Danio rerio: one gene and its partner. The main gene of each other region encodes a partner of the protein of the gene in region 2 in a complex. Links are inferred from orthologs where the notes say so. Each region holds a gene or a part of one and is shown on either strand. Other genes may lie near its edges.

Evidence for each region. Proteins that work in one complex are often made in the same cells at the same time.
Region 1: the proteins of mybl2b (region 2) and lin9 are in contact, whole or in part, in a crystal structure (PDB 6C48), measured with the Homo sapiens proteins. The link is inferred for Danio rerio from reciprocal best matches to the Homo sapiens genes MYBL2 and LIN9. Residues at the interface, in NP_002457.1 of Homo sapiens: Trp663, Ala667, Cys668, Gly669, Gln674, Met677, Gln678, Ala681, Arg682, Leu684, Leu685, Arg687; in NP_001353174.1 of Homo sapiens: Lys356, Gln385, Arg386, Tyr388, Ala389, Thr390, Val392, Leu393, Leu395, Glu396, Asn399, Leu402, Asn403, Leu406.

What each region holds. Positions count from the first base shown.
Region 1 is NC_133195.1:46,995,145-46,999,362, reverse strand, and holds the start of lin9 (protein lin-9 homolog), read right to left. Parts: upstream 2,813-4,218; 5' UTR 2,775-2,812; coding exon 2,744-2,774; intron 56-2,743; coding exon 23-55; intron 1-22. UniProt on the Homo sapiens protein: Acts as a tumor suppressor. Inhibits DNA synthesis. Its ability to inhibit oncogenic transformation is mediated through its association with RB1. Plays a role in the expression of genes required for the G1/S transition.
Region 2 is NC_133186.1:1,629,096-1,633,307, reverse strand, and holds the start of mybl2b (v-myb avian myeloblastosis viral oncogene homolog-like 2b), read right to left. Parts: upstream 2,809-4,212; 5' UTR 2,587-2,808; coding exon 2,567-2,586; intron 1,988-2,566; coding exon 1,891-1,987; intron 210-1,890; coding exon 138-209; intron 17-137; coding exon 1-16. Other genes in the region: uncharacterized protein si:ch73-303b9.1, read left to right, coding at 3,691-3,715. UniProt on the Homo sapiens protein: Transcription factor involved in the regulation of cell survival, proliferation, and differentiation. Transactivates the expression of the CLU gene.

The sequences.
Region 1 (4,218 bases), on a different chromosome or scaffold from region 2:
AGTGTTAAAAACAAAAACGTACCTCTTAAACTAACAAGGGCTTTAGCTGAAGAGCCTGAAGGCGAAGAGAACAAAGAGTTTGATATATTACAATACATTACAGTTTCAAAAGCAACATATGATTAAGAAGTCCAAACAAAAACAAATCTTGAAAATCAATTAATGCAACACTGAAGTAAAGTCCGATTATCAGGCAGATTAAAGGTGGTTTTAGTGCATGGTATTACAATAGTTCAGCCCCAAGGCAATATAAAGTGGTGGTTACACTTGTGTTTTACATTTAAAGTTGCTTTAAAAAAAAACAACAACAAAAAACAAAAGAATTTACGCTTCTTTTATTCATTTATTTATTTTCCTTCGGTTTACTCCCTTATTTATCAGGGGTCGCCACAGCGGAATGAACCGCCAACTATTCCGGCATATGTTTTACAAACTGGATGCCCTTTCAGCTGCAACCCAGAAATAGGAAAGCTTGAAATGTTTTTATTTTTAACTTAGTGATGTTAGATGATCAACTTCATAAACATGCTTTAACAAAACGAGGTGATCAAGCATTTGCAATTGCTCCTATCTATATTTTTTAATACTCCTTGATGCTTTTTATTGCTTTTATTTATTAATTGTTTCAATTTCCACTTTATTCTCATCTCTGTCTTTAGTAATCCTATATACAGCACTTTTGACAACATTGGTTGTTTTTAAATTGCTTTATAAAAACATCTTGTATTGTATTATTATGTTTTTTATTATACATACTTTTTGCACAGTATACTGTTTTGCATCTGCACAACTCATGTGCCCTTAAGTGTAATTGTGTTGTTTACAAATTTTTATTTTTACTTATATTTTCAGATTTTAAATGAGCAATTGTATTTATTGTATTTTCTTTCTAAAATTATACTTTTTGTATAAATATTATATGTTAGGCACCAGGGGTCTGAGAGTAACGCAATATTAATTCTCTATATGTCCTGTACATGTGGTTGAATTGACAACAAAGCTGACTTTGACTACTGTAAGAAAAATTCTACTAAAAGAAGATTTAAAAAAAGAATACGACTGTCAGTTTTTACAACACTACTTATTGTAAAAATAAAACAACCCTAACTGACTTATATAAATAGAAGAAAAGCATTGACTTTAATGCTTTAAATAACTTAAGTAATAAAATATCAAAATATGGTTGAAATAATGGTCTACTTTAAGAGGCATTTTTAAGTTCTAATTAAATATCATACTACATTCTGACCGGTACTTATAAAATTATGTGCTATCAAACTTAATTTCATTTAATTTTAGATTATTTTAAACTTTCTGTTGACAAAAAAAATGTGGTTTGAAATTAAAAAGTTACAATATAAAGATTTAAAATGAAAAATAGGCCTCACAGCAAAAAGGTTGCTGGTTCGAGCCTTGGCTGGATCAGTTGGCATTTCTGTGTGGAGTTTGCATGTTCTCCCAGTGTTCGCGTGGGTTTCCTCCGGGTGCTCCGTTTTACCCTACAACTCCGAAGACATGCGCTATAGGTGAATTGGGTGACCTTGAATTGTTCGTAGTGTATGTGTGTGAATGAGTGTGTATGGGTGCTTCCCAGTGATGGGTTGCAGCTGGAAATAATGCCCTTTTTTATTAATGCCCTTTTTACATTTTATTAAATTTAACACAACATTCTGACCTGTACTCATAAAATGATGTGCTATTAAACTTAATTTCATTTCATTGTAGAATGTTTTGAACCTTCTGTTGATCAAACAATGTGGTTTGAAATAAAATAAAACTAAAAATATAAAGATTTAAAATGAAAATTAGTATTTAAAAGAGCTGCACAGCCATTCTTAAATTGTTCTTGAATAATGACATCATATGATTCTTGATCTAAGCCTGATGAGATAAACTATTGTTACACCAATAAGATTTTAGTGGTTTACTTCTGATAATCCTTGTAAAAATGTATGATAGCCTTTTTTATGCTTAAAATTTAGCAGGACGTTTTATTGTTCAGTGAAAAAAGCTGTAATATGTTTTTATTGTTTTGATACTTTAAATAAAGCAAAGCTAGAAATAAATAATAATCTTTCTGCAATTATAAGCTGCTCAAATATTAAAAGTAATAATTATCAAGCAAGATAACAGACGACGGATTACGCAATTATCCCTATTAATACAATCAAAACAAAGCTTTCGGTAAGACCGAAAGAAAAAAATCACTGTGAATTATTGTGATGAATGAGAATTATCCAGACACAAGTACTGCATCATACAAAGAGCGCATTTTCACACCTGAAGAGTGTTTCAGCATATTAAAAGTATGTGTTTATCATACGGACAGTGTTTTAGTACACAAATAAACTGACACTGACAAGAACAACAAAACCCAGCAGCTGTCATCGAGTTACGACCCTGTAAATGTATAAAAGTTAAACCCTTTTCATAGTATAACCACTGCGAAACCGCAAACCAGTAATTAAATTAATTTTGATTATAAACAAAGCACCATAACGAAACTTTAAGGCGAAAAACTCTTCAGGTGCGATATTTATTTATAGTAGTAGGCTTTGAAAGCTAACTGTTAGCTTGTTAGCCTCAGCGCTAATAACTTTGCGTCTATTTTAACACCAGTCAAAACAATGAAAGACACGTGAAATGTACGGCGAATAGCACGCCTTATGAAACGTTTTAAACCGCACAAACACTCAGAGGGGGATTTTTCAAGGTTTAGCGAGGAGTTAGTTTTATTACTCACTCTCGTCTAACAGCTGCTCGAGCTCCGCCATCTTGAATTAGCCGCGCCGGTTTTTCAAAGGCCGAGTGCCGAGATGCATTGTGGGACAGAGAGGGCAGTTCAAACACACCACAGCGCTCGCTAACTAACAAAACATTTTACATTAAATGTGTTTGCTGTACATAAATATGATTCTTAAAAACAAATTACGACCCATGAGGTAAATTAGATTCATTTGAGAAAGTTTCTTGTAGTTCCAAGCCGTACAAAACAAGTTAAAAGATGTCGTCGGGACCAGGCTTCAGCTGTGGTTCAGTGACTCCTATGAGACACAGGGCCCGTTAAAGGATCTCAGGATCACCAACAAACAAACAAAAAGAACATAAACAAGGTGTAAACTGTATATTTATGTATTAAATATTTTAGATGCATTACATATTTACACTAACTACAATTTTATTAAACAAACGCCAAGTTGCAGAATGACAAACTAATTGTACTGCATTTAACATTTTAAAACAAGTATTATATAATAATCATGTTCATTTAGCATGTGTTTGTACACATTTCACTACAAATTAGTATATTATTAACATTTTATTTTCCCATCAACGTTTGTTCAACAAAATTGAGTCATCTGAGTTAAACTAAATGCTGTTCTTTTGACATTCCCATTCATCAAGGGATCCTGAAATACACAAGATTCCACAAAATACCATACAGTTCAAATGTCATCAATATTATGAAAAAATAATCTCAATTCAAATTAGCAGAATTACAATAGTTTAAGGAAAATCATGTGACTTCGAACACAGAAGTATGCTAATGCTGAAAACTTGTTTATTTCTATAGCACTTTTATGATGTGCATTGTATCAAAGCAGCTTAATGTAGAAGTTCTAGTGAATTAAAAATGTGTCAGTCCAGTTTTCAGAGTAGAAGTTCAGTTCAGCTCAGTGTGGTTAAATTTTTCACTGCTGAAAGTCCAAACACTAAAGAGCAAATCCATTGATCCATATCTCCGCAAGTCCCAAATCAAGCAAGCCAGTGGCGAGAAACCAAACTTCACCAATTGATGAAAGTGAAGGAAAATAATCTTGAGAGAAACCAGGCTCAGTTGAGCATGACTATTTCTCCTCTGGCCAAACTTCTTGTGCAGAGCTGCATGCTAGGTACCGGGGCTTGAGAACGCTGGATGTCCATCGCAGAGAAGCTGCAGGTGTAGGTCACTAGCGGGTGATCAGGCTGGCCCCTGGGATCAATGCGAAAACTCATCTGTCCCTCAGTTTTGAATGATTGGAATAAATATTTAATAATAAAAAACACATTAAAAAAAAATATTTTATTATATTTTTTGACCAAAAAAGGTTATTGTAGTGAATTTTATTTATCAAAAGTGGTAAACCCTGATTTTATTAAATTTTTTTAGTATGATTTTATTTACTTGTATTTAGTTGTATTAGGACATTTTTGCAATCAAATACCACCCCCCGAAAA
Region 2 (4,212 bases):
GATGCTCCGATCGATTCTTCAACAACAAACACACTCTTACAGCATTTCAACTTTAATCAGACACTCAAATGTTCAATAGATCAAAGCATAAATAACATCTGATGTGCGTTTTCTGAATGCATGATAAACACACTTACAGGTAAAAATCCAGCGATGTATTTCCAGTCATTTGATCCAACATTCAGCACCAGTTTACGCAGCTTATCATCCTGGGATATGCCAATGAACATGAAATTAGAGATATGCAATATTTATTTATGTTTTAATGCCATATCAGCAGCATTCATGACAAAACCTAAACTAAAAATACAATATATAACAAGCAATCATATCAGTTTCTTCATAAACATTCATTGTACAAAAAACATCAACACTGAAAAGAGTCTCATACAATCATTTAGTCTAATTAATAAAAGTATGAGTCCCGGCTGGGTCAGTAGGCGGTTCTGTGTGGAGTTTGCATGTTCTCCCCATGTTAGTGTGGGTTTCCTCCAGGTGCTCCGGTTTCCCCTACAGTCCAAACACATGTGCTATAGAGGAATTGATGAACTACATTGGCCGAAGTGTACGAGTGTCTATCCAGACATGAACATGATGTGACATGATGTGTATACTCTGCGTAAAGGATTTTCTTTTCAATAACTGATATATTTTTTGGGGGGGATAGTTGGTTGGGCCAGTAGAAAGTATTGTTTTGTTTTATTTATTTCTACTGTTTGGACGCCACCCACGTCTCATCTCTCCAATTCTCTCATCTATCGGTTCAAACATTTGTTGACTGCAATTGTGAATATATTTTTGTAAATATTTATTATTGTTTAAATATCCATAATTTTGCATTTATTATTATCACTATATTTGTAAATAAACTCACTTTATTGCATTTAGTTAGTCTTGGCATTTTGTCCCTCACTTGTAAATATTGTGTTTGCTCATGTTTCACCCAAAATTAATGTTACTCTCCTTCCCCTTGACTGACCATCTTTAAGACTGTAACAATAAGTCACAATTTAAGAAAAAAACAACAACAAAAACACACTATTTATTGATGTGAAAAACATTAAAGATACTATTAAGTGACTGTTTTAAGTGAGGTAAAGTTGGCTTTATATATAGTTGCTCATTTTTTCAGTGACAACTTATGACATGCTCCCTATGTGGTTTATCATGGTACTTTGGATATTCAGTCTGAAATCAGATGTAAACATGAGTTTAAAACAACATTAGCACTATTTATTTGACTGTAAACAATGTTGTACTTTGATAGTCATTTGCTGCTGAGGTAAAGTTGGCTTTATATTCACAAATTCTGACTTTCTCCTTATTAATATAATTTCAGAAAAGTGTTCTTTGCTAATTCTAAATGATACAAATCTTATAAGCAGCGAGTGACTATCAAAGTACAACATTATTAAAAGTCAAATAAATAGTGCTAATGTTATTTTGAAGTCACATTTACATCTGATTTCAGGCTGAATATTCAAAGTACCATGGGAACTTATCGGAAGCATGTCACAAGCTATCACTAAAGGAAAGTAATTGAGGTAAAGTTGGTTTTATAAATCGCACATTCGTTAATTTAACTGTCTCTATATTGTTTACTACGCTTTTTTTTAAATATTCTATCAGAATTAGCATGCAAGTATGAGTTCAAAACAACATTAGCACTATTTAACTGACTGTAAACTATGATAAGCATTGGCTGCTAATATGATTTTCCTATTTATAATTTGCAAAGAACACTTTTCTGAAATGATATTATTAAGGAGAACGTCAGAAAATCCGAATATTAAACCAACTTTACCTCTATACGAATGTGTGAATATGAAACCTCAAAAATAACTTCACCCCAATATTGTTTAGATTCTGCAATTAGAGAATTGTGTTTACCTCCTCTTGTGTCCACTTGACTTTCACCTTCCCACAATCTCTCTGGTCAGCTACATCAGAGTCTGTGTCCTGGCATAAGGCCTCCTCCTCATCCTCACTGTAACACACACACATACACATACACGTTAAACAACACTGACCGCAGATCAGCAAACACTGTCTGACACCATTTATCAGGGCCTTGTGTTTGCTAAGCAATGTCTATTAACACCAAAGGGAAAAAAACAACACTTTTACTGCAGAAAAGTTCAGAAAATAATACTTTAACCCCCCTAAATGTGCTCAATAATTACATTAAAATACAATACACATTCAGAGCTAATATCTCGAGCTATTAGCAGCTCAGCTAACATTAACAACGCTTGTCATCAAAGTATAAAGCACTTTTCTCGGTCTTAAAGCTAAATGTACAACTTATAACAGTGTGTGATGCTGACTAACATTGTAAATCTGACTTTGTGCAAATCTTTATTATGCTAATATTATAGTAGTTCCGCGTTTATCAGCTCTCTTTGTGCTATTAGGCGGGGTTCAATGGATCATTCACAAACTTATTGTCAACAATCACCACATGCACAGGCAGAATACATTTCTAAGTCTCATTTTTAGCCCTAAAGTGAATCTCCATTACAGATGAACAATAAACATGTACGAATAATAAACTTAGTGTACTTACCCGCGCGCCCACCAAGACATTTCCCTGATGTTTGATCAAAATACGCCAATAATACAGACCTTTATGAGGACACTCTGAGTCTAGAACACACGCATAAACTCATGTGTGATGCTAATTAGACAGTCGATCAAATTAAGTAAAGAGTTTCATTGAAAAGCGCACAGGAGCTCGCAGCTAAACATCCACTGCTGCGCGCCCAAGTTCCTATCTCGCGCTTCTTTTTCTCGTCCATTCCCGCGAGTGACGTAAAGCCAACACAGGCTGAACGTCACGCACAAATGCGTGCGCGCGCGAAACACACACGGACGCGCATTTGGTCAAAGTATACACACGTAAATGTATTTTTATGTATTATAGATTTATCCCTTTAGTAGCCTACATCCTTAAGACTAAATTATATGTTAGCCCCAAAGTTAACAATATAACGAGTATTGTGAGCCTAATGTGAGGCTAATATAGAAGTTAGCCTTGAGGATGTAACGTTAGGCTAGTTCACCCCAAAATGAAAATGTACTCAACCTCAGATGGTTTATAACCTTTTATTAGTTCTGTTGAACACAAAAGAAGATATTATGACTTCCATATAGGATAAACAAATACTATATGAGTCATTGGTTACAGGTTTTCTGCTTTTGTGTTCGACAGAAGAAACTTGGATCCAGTTTAAGGGAGATAAACGATGATTTTGCGTGAACTGCCCATTCAATAGTCCTTTACTCGTATTTCTGACATTCCGTTTAAAAAACTTAACAACTAAAAGTCGTAAAAACACGATTTGACATGTCATAATTAAACATTAAACGTTTAAAGTATGACATTAAAGTATAAAATGAGTGTTGGTAAAATTATGAATATGTACCGGAAGATTCATTCAGATAGCGATTTTTGTTTTACAAAATGGCGATAAAACTCAGAGCTAGTAATTAATTACTAAACCCAAATCTTATTATTTGGTTTTTCATCTGCATTGAAATATAGATATGATCAAGCATTGTGATTATAGACGTGTTTAGAGTATTTATCCACTGAAAAGATCCCCTTTTCCCAAAAGCCTGAAGAGCTAATGAGCTAATCATGCTCAGCCATAAATACAAGCTGAGTCTAATTACCTCCACACTTTCCTAATGGACGCAGGACGGGACAGACCTGGTAAAACACACACTTATATAAATAATGTTGAAGTTTTAGTAATAATATTTGCTATAATAAGCTGCAAACACATTTAACAGAGCTCTTACTGGTGCAGGTATTGCTTAAAATGCTTGAAAGGTTTGAATTGTGCTGAGATTTGGGATAAATCTGATAATCTGATTATTTGCTTGATAATCGTAAAATGTTACTAAATGGATAATTAAATATTTGTTCTTGCATAAAGTGGAAACTCTGGGCTCTGCGAATGCACTTATGATGTCCACTTTTTTTATTTTTCTTAATTTTATTTTATTTGCACTCTTTGCCTATACATTGGGAGAAGACCATGGGGGATTACTGCTTTGAGTGGAAAAATGCATGAAATTAAAATTAATTTTCATTTAAGATCCAAATAAATTATTTAATAGAGTACATTACAGCATGTTTTGGTTAGTCTAGGGCAAACATGCCATCAAAAAAACTGTCCTTAGCGAATACTATAGCATCTGATGTAA